Coturnix japonica: one gene and its partners. Each later gene encodes a partner of the first gene's protein in a complex. Links are inferred from orthologs where the notes say so. Each region holds a gene or a part of one and is shown in the gene's direction. Other genes may lie near its edges. The genes, in order: NCKAP1, ABI1, CYFIP2 and WASF2.

Evidence for each region.
Region 2: NCKAP1 (region 1) and ABI1 share a complex: the UniProt entries of both Homo sapiens proteins name them as parts of the WAVE2 complex. The link is inferred for Coturnix japonica from reciprocal best matches to the Homo sapiens genes NCKAP1 and ABI1.
Region 3: NCKAP1 (region 1) and CYFIP2 share a complex: the UniProt entries of both Homo sapiens proteins name them as parts of the WAVE1 complex. The link is inferred for Coturnix japonica from reciprocal best matches to the Homo sapiens genes NCKAP1 and CYFIP2.
Region 4: NCKAP1 (region 1) and WASF2 share a complex: the UniProt entries of both Homo sapiens proteins name them as parts of the WAVE2 complex. The link is inferred for Coturnix japonica from reciprocal best matches to the Homo sapiens genes NCKAP1 and WASF2.

What each region holds. Positions count from the first base shown.
Region 1 is NC_029522.1:6,232,681-6,238,521, forward strand, and holds part of NCKAP1 (nck-associated protein 1), read left to right. Parts: coding exon 1-39; intron 40-243; coding exon 244-350; intron 351-1,551; coding exon 1,552-1,684; intron 1,685-3,169; coding exon 3,170-3,251; intron 3,252-3,659; coding exon 3,660-3,718; intron 3,719-4,514; coding exon 4,515-4,660; intron 4,661-5,836; coding exon 5,837-5,841. UniProt on the Homo sapiens protein: Part of the WAVE complex that regulates lamellipodia formation. The WAVE complex regulates actin filament reorganization via its interaction with the Arp2/3 complex. Actin remodeling activity is regulated by RAC1.
Region 2 is NC_029517.1:14,549,063-14,554,903, forward strand, and holds part of ABI1 (abl interactor 1), read left to right. Parts: intron 1-1,749; coding exon 1,750-1,890; intron 1,891-3,882; coding exon 3,883-3,983; intron 3,984-4,763; coding exon 4,764-4,844; intron 4,845-5,841. UniProt on the Homo sapiens protein: May act in negative regulation of cell growth and transformation by interacting with nonreceptor tyrosine kinases ABL1 and/or ABL2. May play a role in regulation of EGF-induced Erk pathway activation. Involved in cytoskeletal reorganization and EGFR signaling.
Region 3 is NC_029528.1:13,088,117-13,093,957, reverse strand, and holds part of CYFIP2 (cytoplasmic FMR1-interacting protein 2), read left to right. Parts: intron 1-1,612; coding exon 1,613-1,756; intron 1,757-3,033; coding exon 3,034-3,124; intron 3,125-3,755; coding exon 3,756-3,886; intron 3,887-5,841. UniProt on the Homo sapiens protein: Involved in T-cell adhesion and p53/TP53-dependent induction of apoptosis. Does not bind RNA. As component of the WAVE1 complex, required for BDNF-NTRK2 endocytic trafficking and signaling from early endosomes.
Region 4 is NC_029538.1:1,778,498-1,784,338, reverse strand, and holds part of WASF2 (wiskott-Aldrich syndrome protein family member 2), read left to right. Parts: intron 1-3,167; exon of another isoform or gene 3,168-3,294; intron 3,295-3,438; 5' UTR 3,439-3,462; coding exon 3,463-3,592; intron 3,593-5,841. UniProt on the Homo sapiens protein: Downstream effector molecule involved in the transmission of signals from tyrosine kinase receptors and small GTPases to the actin cytoskeleton. Promotes formation of actin filaments. Part of the WAVE complex that regulates lamellipodia formation.

The sequences.
Region 1 (5,841 bases):
ACAGTCCTGTCTGATCAGCCAGGCCTGCTGGGCCCCAAGGTAATTGCTGGCTTTGTTTCATCTTGCGTTGTAGTTTGTACCTTGGTTATATTCTGTCATTTGAGGGAGGACAAATCCTTCTGTATTCAGCGGTAAAACTTCCTTAGCTATTAAGATTCTGTTGTTTTAGAGCCCCGTTGTGTCTTAGTGTGCACCAAGTGTCCAACTGTTGTATAAACCTCCAGAATAATTTTTCTTTTTCAGGCACTTTTTGTATTTATGGCGTTATCCTTCGCTCGTGATGAAATTATTTGGCTTCTTCGTCACGCAGATAACATGCCAAAGAAGAGTGCAGATGATTTCATAGATAAGTACGTTAACAGCTTGTAGTGTGATGGCTTTAATATTTAATAGAACATTTTGGAGGGAATATATCTGAAGGCGAAGGAATATCAGAGAATGATAACGTGATGGGAGAACCTGGGCTGTTTTGTGATGGTGCTAATCTTCCCATCAAAGCAGAAAAGCAGAGGTGTTTATTGTGTTAGAAACTGCTGGAGCAGTGGTAGAAATACATTGTCTGTGGAAGATTTATTTGTGAAGGAAATTTATTTTGTGATCAATCTTAAGCATTTCTTTTAGCTCAAAGAAGGGAGGGAGGGGGGTGTGAACGTAGATGGTCACTAATGAATGGGAAAACAGACTGTTCCAGAGATGGATTTGTAGAATGTCTCCTTTATCATAGCAGAGCTGTCATTTAAATCAGATAATCAGGTTTGTTTGTATAATATATGTTTGGTGTTTTCATAAACAGGAAGTAAAACTGAGTAATAAGATTAAGAAATCTCATGAGCGTGAGTAGACTGAAGGGAGCTGGTTGTTCATGCAGAGTTTTTGAGATAAGGGAGCACAGAAGTTTGATCTTGGGAATAAAGTCTGACAGCATATCCACTTGTCTGATTGTTTCTCACAGAGTACTGGGTTTAGTCTAAGAAACCATCAGTCTAATAATTGGGAGAGCGTTTTAAGCTTTCATTTTCAGCTTTGGTAGTGTTGCTTATAGAATATTGCCCAGTGTTAACTACTTTAGTTTATTAATGACTACACAAGGAGTGATGAGCATTATCTTCTGTGCAGTGCTTTCAGCAGAGGAGGGCACCTTAACCTCTTGTGAAGTTATGGGTTTTTAGAATAAAGATCTTCTGACTTGAGCTGAAATCAGCAATTATTACAGCTCTGATCTTCAGTTTTAACTGCTTTAGCTTTTTTTAATTGGCCATTACAAAAGGGCTTCTTCAGAAAGGAATGGGTAGTTACAGGGACCTTTTGAGTATTACTGTGAGGGGGATCCTGTTGATATATTTACAAGTGAGTGGGTTTTACCTTACAGAGAAAATTTCTATGAAAACATTATATAATGTGAGATGATGCTGAATACAAAAATTACCTGTAAGTAATAGTTTTTAAAGCAAGGTTTAGGAGGCAATCCCCATGGGAAGCATTGCACTGATAGGAGCATTTAATATTGTTTATACTTTGTGTTTGTAAGCCTTCCCTTGCCTTCCTGCACAGGCACATAGCTGAGCTGATATTCTACATGGAGGAGCTCAGAGCACACGTGCGCAAGTACGGGCCCGTGATGCAGAGGTACTATGTACAGTATCTCTCTGGCTTTGATGCGGTGGTCTTAAACGAGCTTGTTCAGGTATGGCAAGACCATGGTTTGGGTTCTGTTTTTTGTTTGGTCCAAAATGTCTTCATGAATCTCTATTTGGTTTTGTGGATTTTTGATAAATGTCATGGGATAAGGCCAAGTATCTGAGCTTACTGCTTAACTCTAGGGTTAAATAAACTCTAAGTAACACCCTTAATTCTGTTCAATGCTTCTGCTGTCTGACGCAGTGGAGAATATAGGGCCTGTGTCATTTACCAAGTGGTGGCAAGTGAAACAGGGAGCAACAAGAATCCCTTGGTATTCTTTTGTAATATATTCAATAAATGGATGGCTTCTCTTGTTCAGCGTCAGTGTATTGAAGAAGTGATTGAAGTATTTGAGATCAGTGCTGTATCATTCCAGTAAAGAGATACCAGTCTGCATCACTGTTTGCTCAAAGCAAAAAAGTAATGGTCAGCTGAGGTAGCTTCATGTGTTTAAATAACCTAAATACGAAGTCAGGTATTTGTAGGTGTCACCGGAGACTTTTTTACTGTGGTCTACTGTTCTCATCGCTGCAAGTGAATATACACTGTGGAGCTTCTGAGCTGCCCGGGAGTTGATGTAGTGTCACTTAGCTGGTAAATTACTAGCAGGATTTCTGAGCTGCTTTGATGACGTTTCTGAGCGGCCACGAGGTGGCGCCCAAATGTAGTGAACACAGGAGCTACTCAAACTGGAGAAGCTTCTATTGAGTATGAAGCTATTTTGCTGTTTACAGAAGGAACTTTGATATGTGAGGTAGTACATCAGTGACCAGAAGGGGGAGCTTATCTCCTCTGCTGTTCATTTTAACATGCAATTGAAACAGTTGATTTATTAGTTTATATTACTGTAGTCTAAAATGTGAAATGTAACTGGATCCTTGGTTTTACTTTTATATGAGCCTTAAATTCAACATAAATAAGATCTTAACAATCACTGAAACTGCTTCTTTGTAAATTTCTCCTTTCTAAAGGAGATTCTAAATTTGAAGGATTTCTAAACATGGCAGACTGTCTTTAGGGTGCTTTAAGTCACTCAAGTCGATGTTAGTAGAAATCTGTTGATGGATGGTCCTGTGGGAAGCCTAGTGATTCTGAGCTGGGCTCTGCTGAATTTTCTGAGCCCAGCTGAATTTCAGGTGCCTATAGAAGTCTGAAAAATGTTTGGTGTCTCTAGTATAGCATAAATATGGTCCCTGTCCATTTTGTAAATGACAACAGCCTGAAAATGTGTGGGAATGGCTACTGACAGATTTTTGTCTTCTGTGGCCAAGTTGTTTGGAAGCAACCTTTTGTGGGTAGAGTCATTAACCAATGAACTGGAAAATAGAACTTGTTAATTCTCACTATTTGAAACTCTGTTGATTAAGTTACCTTCTGTAAAGTATGTAGAACATACTATCAGATGACTGATGGTAATTTGTCATAAATTTTGACAGTCTTTTATAAATGAGATTTGAAATAATAATAATAGTAACAACAATTATTTCAGAATCTTTCAGTGTGCCCAGAGGATGAGTCCATCATCATGTCCTCCTTTGTAAACACTATGACTTCGCTAAGCGTGAAGCAAGGTGAGTCTATTCCTATGAGTGTGGGGGAAAATGGGAACCAAATCAAATGTTCCTCTGGAAGGCTTCATGGCTTTCTGTTATGTGCAATCAGAAGTAGCAGATAAATGGCATAAACTCAACTGATTTCCTTGTTTCTTTTCCTTTATGGTATCTGCTTCTCGCTCTGTGTCCTTTTTCTGTTACTTAAGGCTTCTAAAAAAACTATTTGAAGAACGCTAGCTTTAATTTAGAGAGGATATTATATGTATCCATATTTAAATATTTCAGTTCCTGTTAGCATGGTTGTGCTGGATTGAAGTTATCAGGTAAAAGAGGTTCAAAACCCAAGTAATTTTAGTGTTTTTGAATTGCTGTTGTTACCTTCCTTGAGTGTTTACGTTTGGTATTTTGCTTTTGTTTTTATTTCAGTTGAAGATGGAGAGGTATTTGACTTCAGAGGAATGAGATTAGATTGGTTTAGATTGCAGGTAAGACTTTGTATGTCTGCATGGAATTTAACAAATCCCATTTTGGTTTCAAGATATTATTCTCGTACTGTTAATGCAAGTAGGTGACAGGCTGTATAAGGATATTCTTCGCAATTAAAACTCAAAGAAACTCACAGGACAATTTTCTGCTCTCTGGTGTAACTTCGTTTTTACCTTTGCATTGCTGCCTATTTTTTGCAAATAATTCTTTGGAGAATTATAACCATTTGGAAATGGAATGTGTTGTGGAGGAGGGGGCTGTTGGCAGCTGTGTGCTGTGCAGAATATGATTCAGCCTGCCCAGCTAAGGAAAGGTAGAGGCTGCTCGGCAAGAGAATGTTCAGTGAGATCACTTGTGTTGGGGTTACTCTGTCTCCAGTTCACACATTAAAAGGGTGAGAAATGTTTTGGCAATATCAATATTAGATAGACATGGTATTTTCTCATATTTGAAAAATACACTTTTTTTCCTCTTGTGTACCAGAGCATGAATATTACAAAGTAGAGGGGCCGGTTCTCTAAACTTGATTCCACTAGTGTGCATAAGTGTTTTGTCAGTGTTTTCCTGCCTCTCTTCATCTGTGCCTTGCTGTCATACTCAAGACATCTGGAGACTTTGCTGGAAGGTGGTTTGCTTTCCTTAAAGTACAGTAGAATGTTAAAATGGGCTGTGTGAAGTTGTTACATACACTTGTTCTCTGCATAGCGTAATCAGTGCTTAACCTCCGTGTTGGGCAATAGCAATGAAACTAGAAAATAAACCTGCTGCTTTTTTTGCCTTCTTGTTTCTGTCCAGGCCTACACCAGTGTCTCTAAAGCTTCTCTTGGACTGGCAGACCACAGGGAGCTAGGCAAAATGATGAACACAATCATTTTCCACACAAAAATGGTAGATTCTTTGGTGGAGATGTTGGTTGAGACCTCAGATCTTTCTATATTCTGGTAAGTTACAAAGCTGAGCTCATATTTTTGTTAATTACTGTTGGATTTTTATCCTTGCAAGTTTAACTTTTAATTAATAAGCTTCATAGGATACTTCAGTGGGAGACTCGGATGAAGTTCTGGTTAGTTGTTATTTCTGAGATGGTTGGTGTTCTAGAGTTTGGGGTTTATTGATTTGTACTTTATTTTGTACTAACCTTAACACCAAGTTTGTCTGCCTTTGGTTTCAAAGAACAGCATCAGTCCACAGAATTGCTCATTGGCGTATGTAGTGTAGCCTGATGAGCTTCAATAGGGGACTGTACATTGTTCATCCATGAACTTTCCTGTTCTGGAAAAGAAAAAGCAGTTGATTCCCTTCTTCTTCTGCTCCCAAGCAGGAAGAGCCAGCCTTGCGTTGTCACTTCTGTAATGGTTTTTCATAGTTAGCTTTTTTTTTGTGTGTTTGGCTTTTTTTCTTCTTTTTCTGAGTTTGGAAAAAGGAAAAGAGTAAGGATCAGGAAGCAGACAGATGGGAATCTTTCTCTGACTGCTTAAGGTCAAATAATTAAACACTATCTGCAGTAGAAATAAATCATTGTGAGTCCCAGTGTGAAAATACTGTCCTTGGAGAAGCTTTCTCAGTAGTACTTTAGGTGGTTCTTTTTCAGTTTGAGATGGAGAAAACGCAAACTAATCAGGGCTAGAGTTATTGGTGAAAGTTGTTTTCATATGGTTGTCATGTTTTTGTTGAAAGAAGATTCATGTACTTTTTCTCTTTTTGTATGTTATTTTTTTCTGAAGCTGACTTAAAAAGTAGCAGCTGTGGAATACGTGCTGTCGTAGTGTTTGCCTGAGTTAGTTTGGAGTTATTTCTGAAGGTCTGTCAGAGGTTGTTCAGACACTCACATAACTGATCAGGGGTCATTTATGAGTTCTTATGTAACGAATTCTAGCAAAAGCTGCAAATCCTTGTGGTGCCCATGTGTCAAACATCAGAATAAAATTGGTATCATAACAAGAGATGCAAACAAAATGGGTAAGAAGTGAATGTCTTCAAAAGCATGATGCGCTTTCTGTTATCACGTATGTTATAATGACATACCTGGCATTAGCAGTGCGTTTGATTTGTGTAAGTAGACTTTATTTGCGGCAGAATTACGCATGTATTGCATTAAATTGTCTATTTCTGATCAGTTTTT
Region 2 (5,841 bases), on another chromosome or scaffold:
CTGAGCTGTGAAATGAATGAACAGCAGGAACAGGGGCTTTCTGGGGGGCTGCTCAGGCTGGGAGCACTGTGCAGGGGACAAAGCGAGTGAAAGGCTGCAATTAGAGGAGCTGACTGGAGGGAGCAGCTGTACCATGAGGGTACCTGGACCAGAGCATGACCTTGGGCTGCTTTTAGTTCCCCTGTGGCAGTAGGCACTGGGTGTTGGCACTGCTGTGTCAGGGAAGGGTTGCTCTCTCCTGCCATGCAAGATAGGCAGAAAAACAGAGGGATGGGTTGGACTTGCGTGGCACAAAGGAATTATTTTTTAATTCTCTGTGCTTTGGAGTTTGAGTCCTTCAATGAAGTTAAGGAGAACAAGGAGAAAACGGAGTTCAGATGAGCCTGAGGATGTAGCAGGATTTGCTTTTGATAGGATATTGAGATTGGATGGGCAAAATAAATAGCGCTATTGAGCCAAGGGGCTGCATTTCTTATTGCCAGTGCATTCCAAGATAGAATACTTGAAAATGTTAGTGTTCAAGGTTATTTCTGTTGGAAGCACATTTTAAACCTTCTGTGCTTATTATTTCACTTGGCGGTATTTAGAGCTCTATCTCTTATAACTGGAATACAAAGTCACTTTATTTTTCCCAGGACTGATCTCTTCTGATGAGTCTACAGGTGGTGGCAGTCTGCACATCAGAGTCACCTGCAGTTCTTTATATAGACAAACTAATTTACAAACACCATCATTCATACAAACACGTTATTTCCATTTTTCTCCTCAAGAGAGTTTTTAATAGTTAAGTTTTTAGTTAAAATTAAGCACATTTGCATTCTACATTGTTAAAAAGAAGTCGATACATTTCTTAAAATACTTTGAAGCCATATAACTTAACAGCTTGGTTATAACCAGCAATGGAACAAGTGATTAAATGCCAGTAGTTTACTATTTTTGTTTTTGCTTAGCTGGTGTGTTGCCAAGTTCCGTGTCTTGCAAGGGATCTCTTGGTAACTGGTGAGAAATGAAGAGCTCTGCAGCTCAGTACAATACACACACTGTTCTGAAGGCAGAAATGGGGTGGGTAAATAGATCTCAAAAGATCCGTGCTGCATTTCTGAGTTGATGCAGTCTGCTCAATGACCTTGGAAGTCTCTGAGCTTCATTTTCTGTGTCTGTAGAATGGAGACAATGAAGCTGATCTGTGAAGTACTTAAAGATCTGCTTAAGTGATATGCTTGATTACAGCATAAAACAGTGCTGCTAGGAAGAGCGCTGATGATTGCAAATGTAACTTGTTCTGTGAATAGTTTGGACTTACTCCTGTCTTAATGAGTTGAATACCTTCAGCCAAGAATGCTTTTAGGATGGTTGAGCATTTGGAGGAGAGGGGGAGAAAGAGGACATTGTTAAAAGGGAAAGAATTGCTCACATGCAGTGAGAGCAAGATAACCCTGGGATATGGTACAGGTGTAACTGCTGCATAGTATGTAGTTCAAAGCATGTGTTTTTGGTGATGTATTTAACTTAGACTTTTTTAATCAGTTTGTGCTGTAGGCCAGCTTGTAACGCTTTTTCCGCTTTGGAGAGTTGAAGGTGATTTTCCCACCTCTCACTGGTGGAATTTGTTTACTATACTCTACTGTGGGTCACTGTGGTCTCATGTGAAAACAGAAGAAAACAAGTGGCTTCGCTACTTTATGCAGTTATCCTTTTGATCTACTGATTGTTTATCCTTCTGTCTTCAAATCTTTTTCTCCTGACCAGGCGAAATACTCCTTACAAAACCCTGGAGCCAGTCAAACCGCCAACGGTCCCTAATGATTACATGACCAGTCCTGCCAGACTGGGCAGCCAGCACAGCCCAGGGAGAACAGCTTCCTTGAACCAGAGACCAAGAACACACAGGTAGAGTGTTTTTTCTCACTCACACTCCTTCCTGCCTGGCACACTGCTGCTTTCTGAAAATCACAGAAAAGCTTTGAAGCTTAGTGCTATTGGCAGCACAGACTCCATTTGTTTTGTTCTGTGGTACTTTTTTCCCCAAAATAAGCAAAACTTCAAAATTTATGCAGATGAGAAGTCAAGTAGTGATGAGTCCTACTGGGTTGAAAGCTGCCTTGCTAACCTTAGCCTAAAATGCAGTTTTATAGAATAGTTTTTTTGTTGTTGTTTTCAAGTCCACTATTTGCAAAGGGGAAATTCTGTTGATTAAACACTGTGATGAAGGTAGTCTGAAAGAGCCAGTTGCTTTCTTTTGACTGAAACTTAATGCTTGCTTGATAGAAGCGGAATGTAAAGCTTACTCACAAAGCAGGTATTGGCATTAGCCAATTGTTTCCACATGCTGGAGGATTTTGATGAAAGAGTAGTGTGTCCTTAGGTGCAAAAGGTATCTGTGTGTACTTTGTTCTTTTTTTTTTATCATGTAAATTTATTCTCAAACTGCAAGGCTAGATTTTTCTTTGAGCCTCATGAGTGAGTTTGGTTTCCTCAGTTTGACGGTATCAGAACTTTCAAAACTGCAGGAAGAAAAAGCAGACAAAAGAGTTCAGTGTAGCTAAAAATAAATTGGTAGTTTATTTTTCAGAGAGCTGCTTCCTTATTATTTTTTTTTAACACCCTGTAGACAATTAAACACAATTGGTCACTAATTAGGGATTGAGGGTATTTTGGACATGTTGTTCATGAAATACCATTAGAATTAAATAGTATCTAAATCTGGATGCAGTGAAGATCTTGTTAATCTGTTTAGCTGGCTCCAGTGAGTGCTCTCTATACTTGTCTCACATGGTCTGTATTTTGTGTAGACTGCAGTTACGAAGTCAGCTGCAACCATGGTGACAAGATCAAGGTCTTCAGCAACAGCACACTAATTTTGAAGGAATTATCTTGCCTTCGATTTCAGATCACAGATTCTCTTTTTGTGACACTATTATTTTCTTAAGAAATGTTTGAATGATTGGTAGCTAACCAGGAACAGTAAATAAACTGTAAAATCACCGGGTACTTCTTCATTAACATGAATGGGTGAAAGTGTTTTGGCTTCAAGGCATCTTGACTGCTTAGTTCCCTTTATATTATCCATTTAATCCGTGTAAATTCAAGCCTTGGCCTAAGGAATGTTCTTGGGTAAGAATAAGGACAGATGTTGTCTGAACTTTGATTCCTTTTTCATTCCTCAGTGAAAAGAGATGTTTTGGTCTCTGCAGTAGATCACTAAAAGCGTGCTCTGTAAAAATCTGTATTGCTGGCCTAGGACATATTAACAGTACTGAGACAAACTGCCACCTGGATGTTCTGTTATCTTATAGACTATCTTAGAAACAAACTTCTCATACACAAATTGTGTGCATGTGTGTGTGAAGAGGCATATTGGCTATACAGATAATTATTCCTTCCCTTCTCCTGCCCAGCTTGGATAATTGCAGTTGTTCTTAGTGAAAAACTTCTTATTCTAAGCCTCTGTTCTAAGCAGAGAAAAGGTTCCTTCAGCATAATTAATTTTAAATAGTTATTTGTAGTTTAGGCATGAACTCTTCCAGCTTATTGCTTCTAATTAATACGAGGCTCTTGAGCTATTCCTGTAGTTGTTACTCCATTGCCTAAAACTGGTATGGTTGCTTACCTTTTTGTTTTTGAAGTCATATAATTGGACATTTTATGCATAGTTGTGTTCATCAGCTTAGCTAATTCCATTTATTAGGAGTGTAATGCTTCCTGCATAGTTGATTAGCTATTTGAGATTGTAGGTAGAGACAAGGGCGTTTTATGGTGGATTTTTTTATGGTCTGTAATTGAGTTAGACCAGAAGAGTTCACACAAAAAGCGTGGCTATCAACACAGGCTTTTGTAGGAAATGTGTGCTAATACTTGTGTTTTTCCGTTCTTCTCTTATAGTGGTAGTAGTGGAGGAAGTGGCAGTCGAGAGAATAGCGGCAGCAGCAGTATTGGCATTCCCATTGCCGTGCCTACACCTTCACCGCCAACCATTGGACCAGGTAGGAGGGACTCTTCCCATGCTAACTTAAGGCTGTAACGACAGTCACTTATGTCTGTACAAGTAAATAGAGGTTTTTAGCTCAAATGAAATACAGAAGATGACCTACAGAAAATTACCAGTAGTAGAATTCAGACTTGTCAACTGGTGCCATTTATTCTGGTACAGTCTGAAATTGCTAAGCTGTGAGAGAGACCACTGAGAGAAGTGGGAGAACTGGTGTGTATAGCACAGCAGTGAAACAGAGCCATGCAGGATCTCTCAGTGTCTAAAGCATAATTTGTTGTCTTTATGAATGACGACTAGTGGGAATGTGTAGAATCCTTTTTTTATAATTATTGTTACATAGCAGGATTGTCTTGGTGACAAACCAACCATGTCTGTCACTTGTTTACTGTTTGTGACTTTTGTAACAGATTTGTGTTAACTTTCCCAAGAAAGTAGTGAAATTTTGGTGCAATGTATTTTTCTATTGCACCTGTTGAATTTGTTCCTTGGTTCACTTTCTTACACATGTGTAGGTTTTCCTTTCTCTTTCCCAGATGTTTCTGATCCTGCACTGGTCCGAGTAGGCATATATTTTACTATCATCTGTCATCCCATTGAAATAAATGGGAATAAAACCTGCAGATACAGAACCCTTTGTAGGATCAGGGCCTGAGCTTGTTATCAGTTTACTCAAGTTGAATTTTTATATTTATTTGGGAAGCCTATCAAGTTCCCTTGCTTTCTTACCTGCTTTTTAAGTATGTGGCCTAATTGGGAATATAAACTATTTTAGCACACATTTCTGTTCCTCCTCCTCCTGGAGCCCCGCCAGCACCACCACTGCCACCACCTCTCCCGATGGGCAGTCTGATAGGTGAGACTTGTATCAATGCTGAAGTGATTGCAGTCATGCTGCATAATCAATAATCATCTCTTCCTAATGGACTTAGTGAAGCTGTTTTTTCATCTGTACTGGGGTCTACATGATTTTAACACAAAAATCAGTTCTGACGTGATTTTTTTTTTTCTTTAAACAAATCTAATCTCCACTAATTTCCTGTGGTTAAAGCCTCTGAAGGTAAATGTACAAGGTATGGGGAAAAAGCTGCTAGCTGTTTGAAGTCTCTATTCCCAGCAAAGCTAAGGTCCAATCTGTCTGATCTGAAAGAACTCAAAATGAGCTGGAACATTGCCATTCTGCTGTATCACTCTTGCAATTGAAACTAAGCTGCTATGGTTGCACTCTCACTTAAAAATGGTAGCTGATGTGTAGGGTGATGTATGTATCCTATCCTGTGGGAAGAAGGTGACTGAAAAGCAGAAGTGTCTGTCACAGTGGCTTGGGTTTGATCCTGTAATGCTGCAGGCAGATACCAAACTGAAAGACTTTATGATACAAGCTGACAGTTCTTGAAAAAATGCTTCAAACATTACATGTTGCTGTTAGGAAGGGATTTAAAAGCAATAAGTGTAAAACCATGTAGAACTCTCCCTTTCCTATCACAGACTGATGTCAAAATTCATAGATCTTGTTATGAAATCAGCTTTGGAGGCTTTGACCCACGTAACCCTTTGCACTTTCTCTTACTGAAGTGTTAAGAGAAAGTGACTTTGGATGGCACTACAGGACTGCAAACTTCTGACCACACACTGTGCCATGTGTGTGCGTTTTGTATATATTTTTATCTGTCTGTATAAGATATATACGTATGTATTTAAAAGTACAGAACATTTTATTGCGAAACAATTTTTGCATTCAAAAATTGCAGTTGTGCATTGATCCATGTGACCTCAACGTTTGAGATTCATTAGTTTGCAAGGCTTGATGCTTTCATTTATCTGTCAGAGGTTAATACCAAAAAAGAACTGAA
Region 3 (5,841 bases), on another chromosome or scaffold:
GGTCTCTCTGTATAACAGGACCCAAAGCTGAAGTTTTAAGAGAGGCAGGGGACTCTCCACTTTTTTTCCTGCTAGCTCTTTAGAGGAGTACCTAGCAATCATAGGAGGTAATACACTGCTGGACCAGGGTACGAGGGCTCTAACAAAACAATTAATTCACTGATTAAAGCAACTGTCAAATCCATGAGAACTATCAGTACATCCGTCAGAAGAAATTCTGTATCTGAGAGCAAAAGAAAACAATTCTATTCTGGTTGTTAGCAAGTGACTTCACATCCTAACTTGTTAGGCTTGTGGAAGTGAGTCAGAAGGAGAGGATGAGTGAAGCCTTTGAACACAACTGGCTGCATTGCAAATGCTAGGAGCAGCAGGGGCTGAGGATCCACCATTTTGTCCTCATCTGCCTCTTCAGTGCTTGCTGCTTTTCATCTTAAGCTCTCCAGTGTGGTGGTCTCTCAGGTGCCTTGGCCAGAGTTCGTCCCTGGTGCTGGCATGGAAAGGAATCCCTGCAGAGCCGGGTCTGTGGTTGCTGTGGAAGGATGCAGCACACCTTGCTCAGCACCATTTAGACATAACTTGTTTCATTAGTCTTGTTTAAGATCTTTTAGCAATTCTGAGCCAGGGATTTCATCTGTGTTTTGCTGGAAGAGGCACTAATGTGCCAAAGTCTTTCTAAGATTCAGTGCTGTGTACTAGAGCTGTGGTTGTCACAGATCTCCTTGGGGAGGCTGCAGCCCTTCTCTGCTGGGGCTGAGTCATGGTGCCAACACTTCACTTGTAGATGCCAAGCTGAGCATACGGTTTCTCAGCTAAAATCAGTTTTCTTTTTGATTTTTGGTTTCTTTTGCCAGTCACACAAGTGAATTAATTCCCCTTCTTCTCTTCTTCTTACACCAAATGAGTATAAAAAAACATTCTAGTGCCAAAAAATTGTAGTAATTACCATATTTCCAACATTATATTGACAAAATATGTTCCTGGAAGTTGCCTTCTGTTTTCTGCTGCTAACTATTTCCTAATGGCCAGAGCCCCAGGTATGCTCCCTAGACAAGGGTCAGGTTCTTCCCCTTGGGCTCAGTCACATGTAAATATCTCAAGCACCTGTAGGGCTGTACAGGATGCAGAAAAGATCATTTCTGTGTCTCTTCCAACCAGTCTTAGGCTCAGATGCTTTAGTTCCTACTTTTCTTACTGTTCCTCTTTTGAAGCAGGTAGCAATAGGAAAATTCTACCGTTATTCATGTATAAAGCTTTCAGTTTTGGTGGAGAACTTGGATTTGAAGAGGCTAAGGGCCAGTGAACTGAAATCCTTGACTGAAAGTATGTAGGAGAGCAAATTATCTTGGAAATGAAAGTGGTGTTGGCAATGGAGCAGGGTAATAAACCTTGTGACATGACAATTTTCTCAGAGTAGAATACATTTGACTGCACAGAAAGAAGAGCAATCTTTTTGTACCTCAAGAAGTATTGTAAGAAATTTCTTACAGGAATTATTATTTTTCCTGCTTTCCTTCAAAATGATTTCGAGTGATGGAACACAGTAGTACAATAAGAAAATTACTTACAAGTTCTGTAAATGTGCCTAACTGTCACTGTGCTTCTATTTTCTCAGCCTCTCAACATTGCCTACAGTCACATCTATAGCTCCTATCGCAATTTTGTGGGGCCACCTCATTTCAAGACAATCTGCAGGCTGCTTGGCTATCAGGGGATCGCCGTGGTCATGGAAGAGCTGCTGAAGATCGTCAAGAGCCTGGTAATTCTGAGCCAGTAATGCTGATACTGGCAGCAGAGAAATCTTGATGCTTTGAGAGACATGAATTGGAGGGTCAGCCTGTCCTTCAGGTTTTGGTTTGGGTTGTTGAAATATAGGCACCTCTGTGCTCCTTTATCCACACTGCAACACTCATATTCATCGTCTAGTTTCGCTGTTACTAAGGTGGAGGACACAAAACTGATGAAAAAGTGTTTGCAAGGAAATTTCTGTCAGATGTGAGCTCTTAAGAATTCAAGCCATACGTCCCTTTCTATCAGATACGCTGAAGCCAGTCGCTCCATCTGCTTTGTACTGCTCTCAAAAGAGAGATGTGATATCCACAGGGAAGTGCTCCCTAAAGGCACCAACAATACAGAACGTTAACAAGGCAGGAGGGAGAGAGCAAAAATTTATCATTTTTCAGGTCACGCTTTTCTACCCAAAACGATTTTACCAAAGAGAAGACTTCAATTCATTATAAATATTTAAATTCTGTTTTGGCTGCAGTGATTTAACTTTGAACTTATTTAGCAAAGCAGTGCAGACCTGAATCTTAAGCACATACCCAGCTTCTCTGCTGTAAAGCACTGTAGCTATTGAAGATGTAATTTGTGTCATTCAGCTGAAAGCACTGTAGCTGTTGTGTGAGATCAGACAGCATTCAGTGAGAAGACAGAGATCTTGCATTTGGCTAAATTATGTTTATCACATAATCCCATGTAATATGTCTACAAGATGCATTTATATAACTCCAAATGACAGCGAGCATTTTTAACTATGAAATATGCTTTTCCCCATATTAATTCAAAACATCCAATGTGCAGGAACTTGTTCCATGTGTATATATTTTACATTTTTTTAAACTCTCAGTGTCTAGAATCATTCCTCAGGTGGGAAGACCATTTCCTGTGCGGTGGAATGGTTCGTTTAGCAGCTCCAATCCAATGCTTTTTGGGTTAGGAACACAAGTCCAGCTGGATCTACTATGAAGCCTTGTTTGGATTTCAGCTGCAAATAATGCAAACACAATGAGCCATATTTTGAAGTAGAAAATCCATGCAACCATGATTTATTATTCAGGAGGAAGCTGCAAAACTCCTTGCACTTGGGCTGGACTTTATGTTTGGGTGAAATCCAAAGGAAGCAAGTTCTTCTTAGACTCCAACTAAAGTTTCACCCTTTGTTGTCAGACAGAAGTCCATCCACAGTCTGTTCTATTTAAAACCAAGGCCAGAAGAAGCCATCCTTCCAGTTTAACCCCTCTTTGTCTCTGACAGCTGCAAGGCACCATCCTACAGTATGTGAAGACACTGATAGAAGTCATGCCCAAGATATGCCGCTTGCCAAGACACGAATATGGCTCTCCAGGTGGGTGCTACAGTGAGATGTGTCATGGTTTGAGCAAGAGCTCATCCAAATATCAGCATAGCATTTACTCAATTAAACAAGGACAGGTACCCACTGTGCTGGTGCACCATGCAGCCTGGCCTCCCTGTGACACAACTTTCCTGTTACAAATTTCACTTTGAACAGACAGATGATGGATAAGGGTATGTCTGCTGGTTGTTTAGGTTTTGTTTTCAGGATTTTTAAGCTTTTGTTACAGTGGCTTCACTATTACTTTTGAAAAAGCTCTACTTCTTTGATGGAAAGATTTTTTTTTACCGTATGACTGCAGTCTGCAACTCAGCTGGATGTGAAAACTGACTGTTACAAATGAACCAGCACAAAGGCATCCATAGCAGCCTTGAATCTCTTTTTTTCTCCGATGGGGAAATCCAAAGACTTCACAGGAATTACACCCTATTTCTCACGGGTCAGTGAAAGCAGGATGACACGCTGCCTGCTGGTTCTGCTCAGTGCCTATCCCTGTCTATCCACTCAGCAGTCCTTGCAGTTCATGATAAAGGAAACACCAGGCCCTGACTGCCTTTTAATCCACACTACTGAAGGATGTTTTTGCTCTCACTTTTCTGACTGCCCTCCCTTGTCTTTTAAGGAATCCTGGAGTTTTTCCATCATCAGCTGAAGGACATCGTTGAATACGCAGAGCTGAAGACTGATGTGTTCCAGAGCCTCAGAGAAGTGGGCAATGCAATTCTCTTCTGCCTCCTTATTGAGCAGGCTTTGGTAAGGCAACATACCCTGCACCAGCAGATTCCACTTAACATTTCCAGCTCAAGAGTATGAGAGGAAAAGGGTTCTCCAGCAGAAGAGTTGGGGAAATTTTCCAGCTTATCATGTACCCAGGGTCTCTCCAGGGCTCTGCTGTTGTGGTCTGTGGGGATGGTATACATTGGTGCTGGGTCACTGACATCTGGCATTGCTCAAGGAGAATCTGAATACTGGAAGATCCAGATTTAATTCTTGGACACAAAGCTATCCCATGTTTGTCCATCTCAGAAATAAAAATCAACTGGAGCTTATTTGTAGATTGTAAGCTCTTTGGGGCAGGGATTGTTACTTTTTCTAATACCCATACGGTAAGGAGTATATTTGAGCCCTTGGCTCTCTTTGGAGTGGTAGTACAATGGAAAAACTGGTTGGTTCTAATGACAGTAAAGATAAAGCAATATGAAAGGAAGGAAATCTCAGAAGAGATTATATTTCCTATGACTTAATCTTCACCAAAAACTTAGCTGGAGTGATGACATGACATTAGCCCTTGCACAAGCATCTTGTGCATGCACAAGTCTCGCAGCCTCTTAGCTCACGTGATGCCAGTTCTAACCTAAGTGGGCTGGTATGGGGCAAAGGCTATCTATGGCTGAATGCAACACGTTACAGCCAACTGAGGAGTTGCAAAAACAATCCAGTTTTGCATTAAGATGCATGTTCCATGTTATAGTTTAGACAGAGTTGTGTCAGATCTTTCAGAAGTTTTTTCATAAAGCCTCCTTGAGCACACATGGGATTTCCAAGCAAAGCCATCAGATTTTGTTCAGAGTAAAAACCAGAAGAAAGTTCAAAGATTCCAAGTTTACTCAACTACAGAACACAGGGAAAAATGAAAATCTCTGCAAATAACCCCAGTAGAAAGGCTTCTAGTTCCTAATGTGGTATTTCAAACATATTTGAAAAGCAATAGTTGCATAAGATTTAACAAACAGAGATATATATATCACCTAGCAGCTTGGCTTTATCTAACAGAATGACCAGACAGTATCCTGGCAGTTTATGTTTCTTTTGTGGCTTTGTCACTGCTCTCTGCTGTTCTGTGCTGAATTTTATGCTAGATGTACTGCATTTGCCTTTTATGTCCCATCTTTTAAATGGATGCATAAGGGACACATGGTGGTTTCTGTTAGAAATCCCCATTTGACTGCAAAAATGTTCCTCCTGTCTCTAGAGCTGTACGTTGGCAATATAATAACATCCTAGAATAGCAGAAAATAAGGGAGACAGTGAGACATTGGGATTCTTTCTAGAAAGACTACCTGTCCAAGTCCACATCTGCCCACCTTCCATGTTCTCAGTTCTCAGTTCTACACAGAAATTGATTCAGAATATAAAGCAGTTTTGCACGTAGCAGCCACTGGTTCTCGCTTGCTGGAAGGCTGTCATATACTTAGAGCCACTGCATAACAAGATTTTCCCTCTCTGTGCAGAAGGAGCAATTACTTTTATGGCACAGTTATCTTCATAGCTGTCAGCCTAATCTAAGGCCAGTGGTATTTGTCAGCAGAGGCTGCTCTAGTGAAGATTAGAAGTCTGCTCCAGTTTGCCCCCCTTTTTATTGTTTAAATATGAGGAATGAAATGTTGCTTGGGATTAAATTTCTAAGAGTTCTTACTCTCAGGTAATGGGCCTTGGGGAGAAAGAAATTTTGAAAGAGATGCCAGGTGTATGCAGCCTGCAAATGCAGAAAGTACTCTCTTTATCAGAGGGAAAGAGGAGTGAAACAATATTGATCCAGGAAGAGTCCTTTGCAAACAGAATCACAAAGATAATATGCACACTCTGGTAGTATCATGCCCGTGGAGGGGCATGGGCTGTTCCTGTCCCTTCAGCACTGTGTCACAAACTGCACTCCTACAAACTCGCTCTCATGCCAGCATCCATGGCACCAGTGCAGCCTCCTGCAG
Region 4 (5,841 bases), on another chromosome or scaffold:
TAACTGGAGAAAACCCCTTCCTTCTTATTGCAGAGCAGCACAGCGGGTGGCAGGACGGGCATTTTGAGCATCTGTGGGTGCAGCAGTGTTGGTGGATCTGGCACAGGAGCAGCACCAGCACCATTCCCTTCCACTCTGCTTCCTCACTCCCAGCTCGAGCTGCCTTCACTTTGATGCCTTGCTTTTCTTTCCCCCCTCCATATTCATTCCAAAGCTGTTGCAGACAGTCATGTTTCACTTGTACCACACTCTATGTCCTCCCTGCTTGCAGCAAGGTTGGGGAGGTGCTGTTTGCACCCCAAACATGACAACAAACCAGATCCTCAGCGTTAACGAGCGAATGGAAAGGCTCGTCTTTACCCCAAAGATAAGTGTTGCTTTATTATTATTAATTATTATTATTGGCCTCGCAGTTCATTCGACTCGCTCCTGAATGGTAGGATTTAGTTCTAATACCCAGTCTGCAGTGGTTACGTGACAGTGACTAATGCCTGCTGGCCACTCTGGCTGGCTGGGGTGGAAAACTGCTGTGCTGTCATGCCCTGACTACGGAAAGCAGAGCAGCTCTGGATGGCCCTTGCTGGTAGCGTGCTGTCACTCAGCTTCTTAATGACTCTTTTAAAGGAGAAAAGCAAGAACCTCCTGGCAGGCTGTTTTTCTGTCTGTCCCTTCCTTGTTCCTGTGTCCCTCCCCTGCCCCCAGCCGCACACCTCGTGCTGTCTCCTGCATTCAGCTTCCTCCTTCTCTCTCTGCTCTCAGACCTTCTCCCTTCTCCACGCTTTATTTCCTGCCCCTCCCGGCTGCTGCTTTCAAAACACGCCACTTCTTTTCCAATCCAAGACTATTAATCTTTGTCCCACCTACTCGTGAGGCATGAAGGTTTTACAGGAGCCCATTAGCTGTTATCTCTGCAGCTCCCCACCATGGATGGAGAAAAGGGATGTCCACCAGGGCAGTGCCTTCTTGTGGGGGCCCTGCTGTTATTACTGGTTCTGTGGGTCCCAGATTTCCTCTGTCTGTGCTGTAAATCTCAAAGACAAGGGGTCATGGAGTGTTGCTTTCAGTGCCTCTCATCCCATCACTGCTGCAGGAGCACAGGGCTGTCTGCCTGCTGCCACCCCATCCTTCCTGCCTCGCTCATCTCCATTGCTCTGCAGGGTTAATGCCTTCACGTCTCACTGCTGCTCCTGGCTGGGGTTAGGGGCAGCAGGGCCGGCCCTGTTGCCTTGGGAAGAAGCAGCGCTGCCGTGCTGTGCTGTCGGAGCCATCACAAAGGTGAAAGTCTTGATTCTGCAGTGGAGTGTGGCAGGCTGTGCTGGGAGGGAGGGGGTGGCTGCAAGGATGAGCCAGGCTATAAAGGGAGTGTTTTTTCTTAGCCCTTATCGCTGCTGGCTGTCTTGCACCGGTGCAGATTGGTGCCGGAGTTGTGCAGTGCAGTTGTAAAGAGGCGATTTGCACCGCTACTCATTGCCTTGAGTTGCAGAACAGGCTTAGAAGCCAAACCCTTTTGGGTAGGGAAAGGGTATAGACAAGGTATAGGTGTATTTCAGGCTGGTGTTTCTGCAGGGGTATCTGGGGGTGGTAGTCCATCTTTCTGCCCTCTTCTACATGCAGCAATGAGTGCTCCTCTCTGACCCAGCACACCTACCATCTTTAGTGGTTGTTCTTTGTGCTGGTGGTTTATTTTGCTTCCCTTTATTCCATATGCATCTCTCCCATCCAGCCCAGGCTTGGTGTCTGTCCCGGCTCTGCAGATCCCACCGAGCCCTGGGGAGCACGAGGGAGAAGCTGGATGCAGGCAGCCTGCAAATGCTGCCTTGTTTATGAGAGCTGCAGACTGCAGTCTGGGGGGAGCTGGGAAACTTTGTCTGGCTTGAAGCGCTAAAGCTGGCAAAAGATTGCAGGGCTTGGGCTGTAATCAATAAAACACGGGGTGTTTGGAAGCGAAGGTCAGAGTCCTTCCTTGGTTCACCCTGTTCTTTATATATCTCAGCAGTTACAGTGGCTGCTGCAGCGCTTGGACACGGCGAAGAGCAGCACAGACCTCAGTCCTTGGAGAAGCTCAGCTTTTATTTACCTGGCGTCAAACCCTGCTCCCTTCTGCTCCGAGGTTTATGGTTTGGGGCCCTGTCCCTGGTGCAGGGCTGTGTGCTCGCAGTGCCTGGCTCAAAATGGCATCCTCCATCTGCTGGGCCAGGAGATAGCCCAGCGCTGCAGCACTCCAACTCCTCTGCCTTAATGGGTCACATTTAGCAATTCAAAATCTGGCTCGTGAGGTAATTAGGAGGGATAATGCCCACTTCTTCCTCTTAACACCCTGATAGAAAAGCATCCAGGAAGGACTCCTGGACCTCAAAGATAAGCTGCCAGCTGCCACAGAGACTATCAAAGGGTGGCTCAAAGTCAAGAGCAAACAGCTGATTTTTTATGGTTCTTGCTTTTTTGCTGTTGGTGACAGGAAGCCATGTTCCCCAAGCTGTTAGCTTCCTGTTTTATTTTTACACCCAGCCCTTGCAGCTCAGCATGCCTATCACATGGGAGCTGGCTGCTTCTCTTGGGCTGCTCCTCAGCTGACCTAGAAAAGCGATTCTTTCCCCTTCTAAATTAATCACCGACTTGGGCTGGATTTGCTTTCCCTGAGTTTCGAAGGTTTCAGGCCTGTGCTCCGAGCTCTGCTTACCAACAGGGCATCATTACAGGGGCAGACACTACAAGAGGGATGTTCGTTGCTTGGACGCTTCGGCCTGTTGGCAAAGGAGAGTTTAGTCCCTTGGTAGGGCTGAGCAGCTGTAAAGCTCTTGGTCCTGCTTAGGGTTCCTTCACTTCGGGTTCCTTGATGGTTAAACTGCCCCAGCACAATAACAATGGCTCAGTGTAAACCTGAGCCCTGGGGCATTTCCTGAGGGTGCAGCCTGCAGGATGAGGAGCAGCCGGCACAAAGTTTCCTGGTCAGCTGCGAGCGCTTCCTGTTGTTCCAGCAGAGCCGCGTTGCAGGAGGAGCCGTGCTTTGTTCCCCCCCCAACCTCCTGCCCTCCACGAAGCAAAGCCATCCGTGTCCAGCTGAACGTGTTCCTGAAGGAGGGTTTTAAGGCTTGATGCTGTGTGTGAGCGGGGAAGGAAGGAGGCTGCGGATGGGTAGGAAGGGAATGGTGACGGCCATGCCGGCAGCACCTCATGTGTGGGTGAAGCTGGGTAGTTTTCCATGTCTGCCTCCATACCTGAGCTGGTGGGACTGTGCTGTCACCGAGTCACAGAACAGCGGGATCTTTATTTCTGAAGGACCAGTATTATAAGGTCGGGGAAGGGAGGGGGAAAGGAGGCTTATAAATAAAGCCATTTGAGAGCAGGAAAAACGAACACCACGGCTCTGGTGTGCCTGGAATTTGCGGTTGAGTAATCCTTTCCTGTTTCTTTTTTGGGTTGTTTTTCATCTTTCAGAACAGCGCCTGAAGCAGGTCCACCATGCCGTTAGTAACGAGGAACATTGAGCCAAGGCACCTGTGCCGTCAGACGTTGCCTAGCGTTCGAAGCGAGCTGGAATGCATGACCAACATCACCCTGGCAAATGTCATTCGACAGCTGGGCAGCCTGAGTGAGTACCATGGCGAGCCTGCGCGTTGCCCTCAGGAGTCGCTAGTGCTCTTTATTTAGCTCCCTTTCTACTCTTGTGTTCCTATTTCTCCCCCATCTGCCTTCCCCGGGTAATGCTAAAATGTTTTCCTAAAGAAATGCGATGCTAATTTCATATCCCTGGTCCCACCGCCTTCCCCAGCTAGAAGAAACTGGGGAGGGGGTGTGCGCATGTGTGTGCGTGCGTGTGTGCGAGGCTGCAGCAAAGCTGCAGATGGAAGGATGGAGCACAACTCAGCCTTGTAAAATGGGAGGCTCTCGGAGCAGCCAGGATCTTGTGTCAGAGAATGTGCCTCTAATTGCGTGCGCTACTAAATGGAGCTTGACTGTGCCGAAGCTATGGTGTGTAAGTAGTCTTCTTTTTAATGAAGGATAATTAAAGCGCCCGTGCAGAAGCAGCCTGTTGGCCCCTGCTGTGTGCTACCTTGGAAGACCCAAAGTCCCCAAGCATTGCCTTTGGAGCACAGGGGGCTCAGGGCTGCTCGCACAGACGGCAGCACCGAGCTCAGCTCTCCGGTGAGCTGCCCCATAGCCTGGGAAAGGCTATAGGGAAAACATGGGCCTGCATGGCATGGGAGGAGAGAAGAGTTAATGGTGGTCTCTGTGGGATGGCTCCGTCCTCTCTTGAAATGCTCTGGCTTCTGATTAGCCGCCTCTGCCCTTGAAGCGAGACTATGAGAATCCAACTCATATTGTTGAGCTTATTGGTGGTGTCTGCGAGCACTTGTGCTTGCTCTGCAATGTAAGGCCCTTGCCTCGTGTGGCAGGAAAGCCTCAGCTACAGCCTCTTTCCAGCAGTGAAAGCCATGGCTGCAACTGAAATCGGGGCCTGTGATGGCTGCCAGTCGGTGTCACGTTCTGTTTTGGGCTGTGGAAATGTCACTGCACGGGCAGGACCCGTCCATCCGCTCACATCCCACTGACCCCTGTTGGTCGTTTGGTGGCTCTGGTAGCCAAGATGGTTGTGGAATGCGAGGAGAATCCATCTCGTGCATGTGAAATGAGGAGGAAGGAGGCAGTAAAGCTGTGCAGATCTCAGCTGCAGAGAAAGCTAATCCCAGTCCAAAGGCATGCAGCGGGTTAGTGTGACAGAGCCCTGGTGAGATCCTGCAGATTTAGGCCGTCTTTGCAAAGCTCAGATATTCAAAGCTTCTCCATGGCTGCCTCAGCTGGACACAGTGAAGCACTGGGAGCCACATTGCAGCCAGGCTCCTTTGCTAGGAAGGTGCCCTGTGATATCTGCGTGGTGCAGGGAGGGAGCTGCATGCAGCCAGGTACCTGGAGGAGAGCAGGGCATGTGGGGGGATAATGAGCACCATCCCTTATCCGCATCCCTGTGGTCAGCGGTGCTTTAAATGAAGCTATTTAGACTCGGTGCTGCACAGCACTCGCAGCCAGCTGACCAAAGTCCTGCCCCCCTCCTTTACCTCTCTTACTTTGGAGGAAGAAATCCACTCCTCCTTCGTACGCTGAGCGTTGAGGGAATGCGAAGCAGGTTCAGTAGGCTGTGACAGCTCTGTCAAGTGAATAATCAGCCATGCCTGCTGCACCACAGTCTCTTTACAAAGATGCAAACATAAATCTTGTCAAACTTTCATATTCCAGTGAGTTTACCCTTCGTTACTATCACAGCTGGTAGCGCTCTGTATAAGCCGGCTGTGCAGTGCTATGGAATGCACGAGCTAAAGATGGAGAGACCTATTGAATCACACCGCCTGTCTTCCTGCCAGTGCGTGACAGAGATCATTCTGATTGTGAGTTGCACTTTTGCAACAGTCAAAGTAATGAGACCAAAAATGAATCTCTGCCTTTCCCCATCTAAAACTGCACGTGGAGCACTGAAGCGTATGCCAGATCCTGAATGGTAACTCAGGACTGATGCACTTAGACAGGTGAGGGAACACCAACCATCCCTGCTGCTTACGGGGCTAAGGACACCACGTGCAGTGCTCTTTGTGCTTGAAACATGCAGCTCAGCACCACAAACTTGGTATCTTCCCTTCTACTTGTTGCAGTTCCTGGTGAGATTTGGAACTGATTCTCGGTTCTCATTAACACAGAACCAAATTACAGCTCTGTGGGCTGTTGCTGGGAGGGGCAACAAATGATCACGTAGGTAAGTGTTCACTTCCTTTGGTCAAACAGGAGAGCTGGTGCTGATGGTGAGCACAGAGTGCTTGGTGAAACGTGGCTGCAGTGAGTGCAATCCAG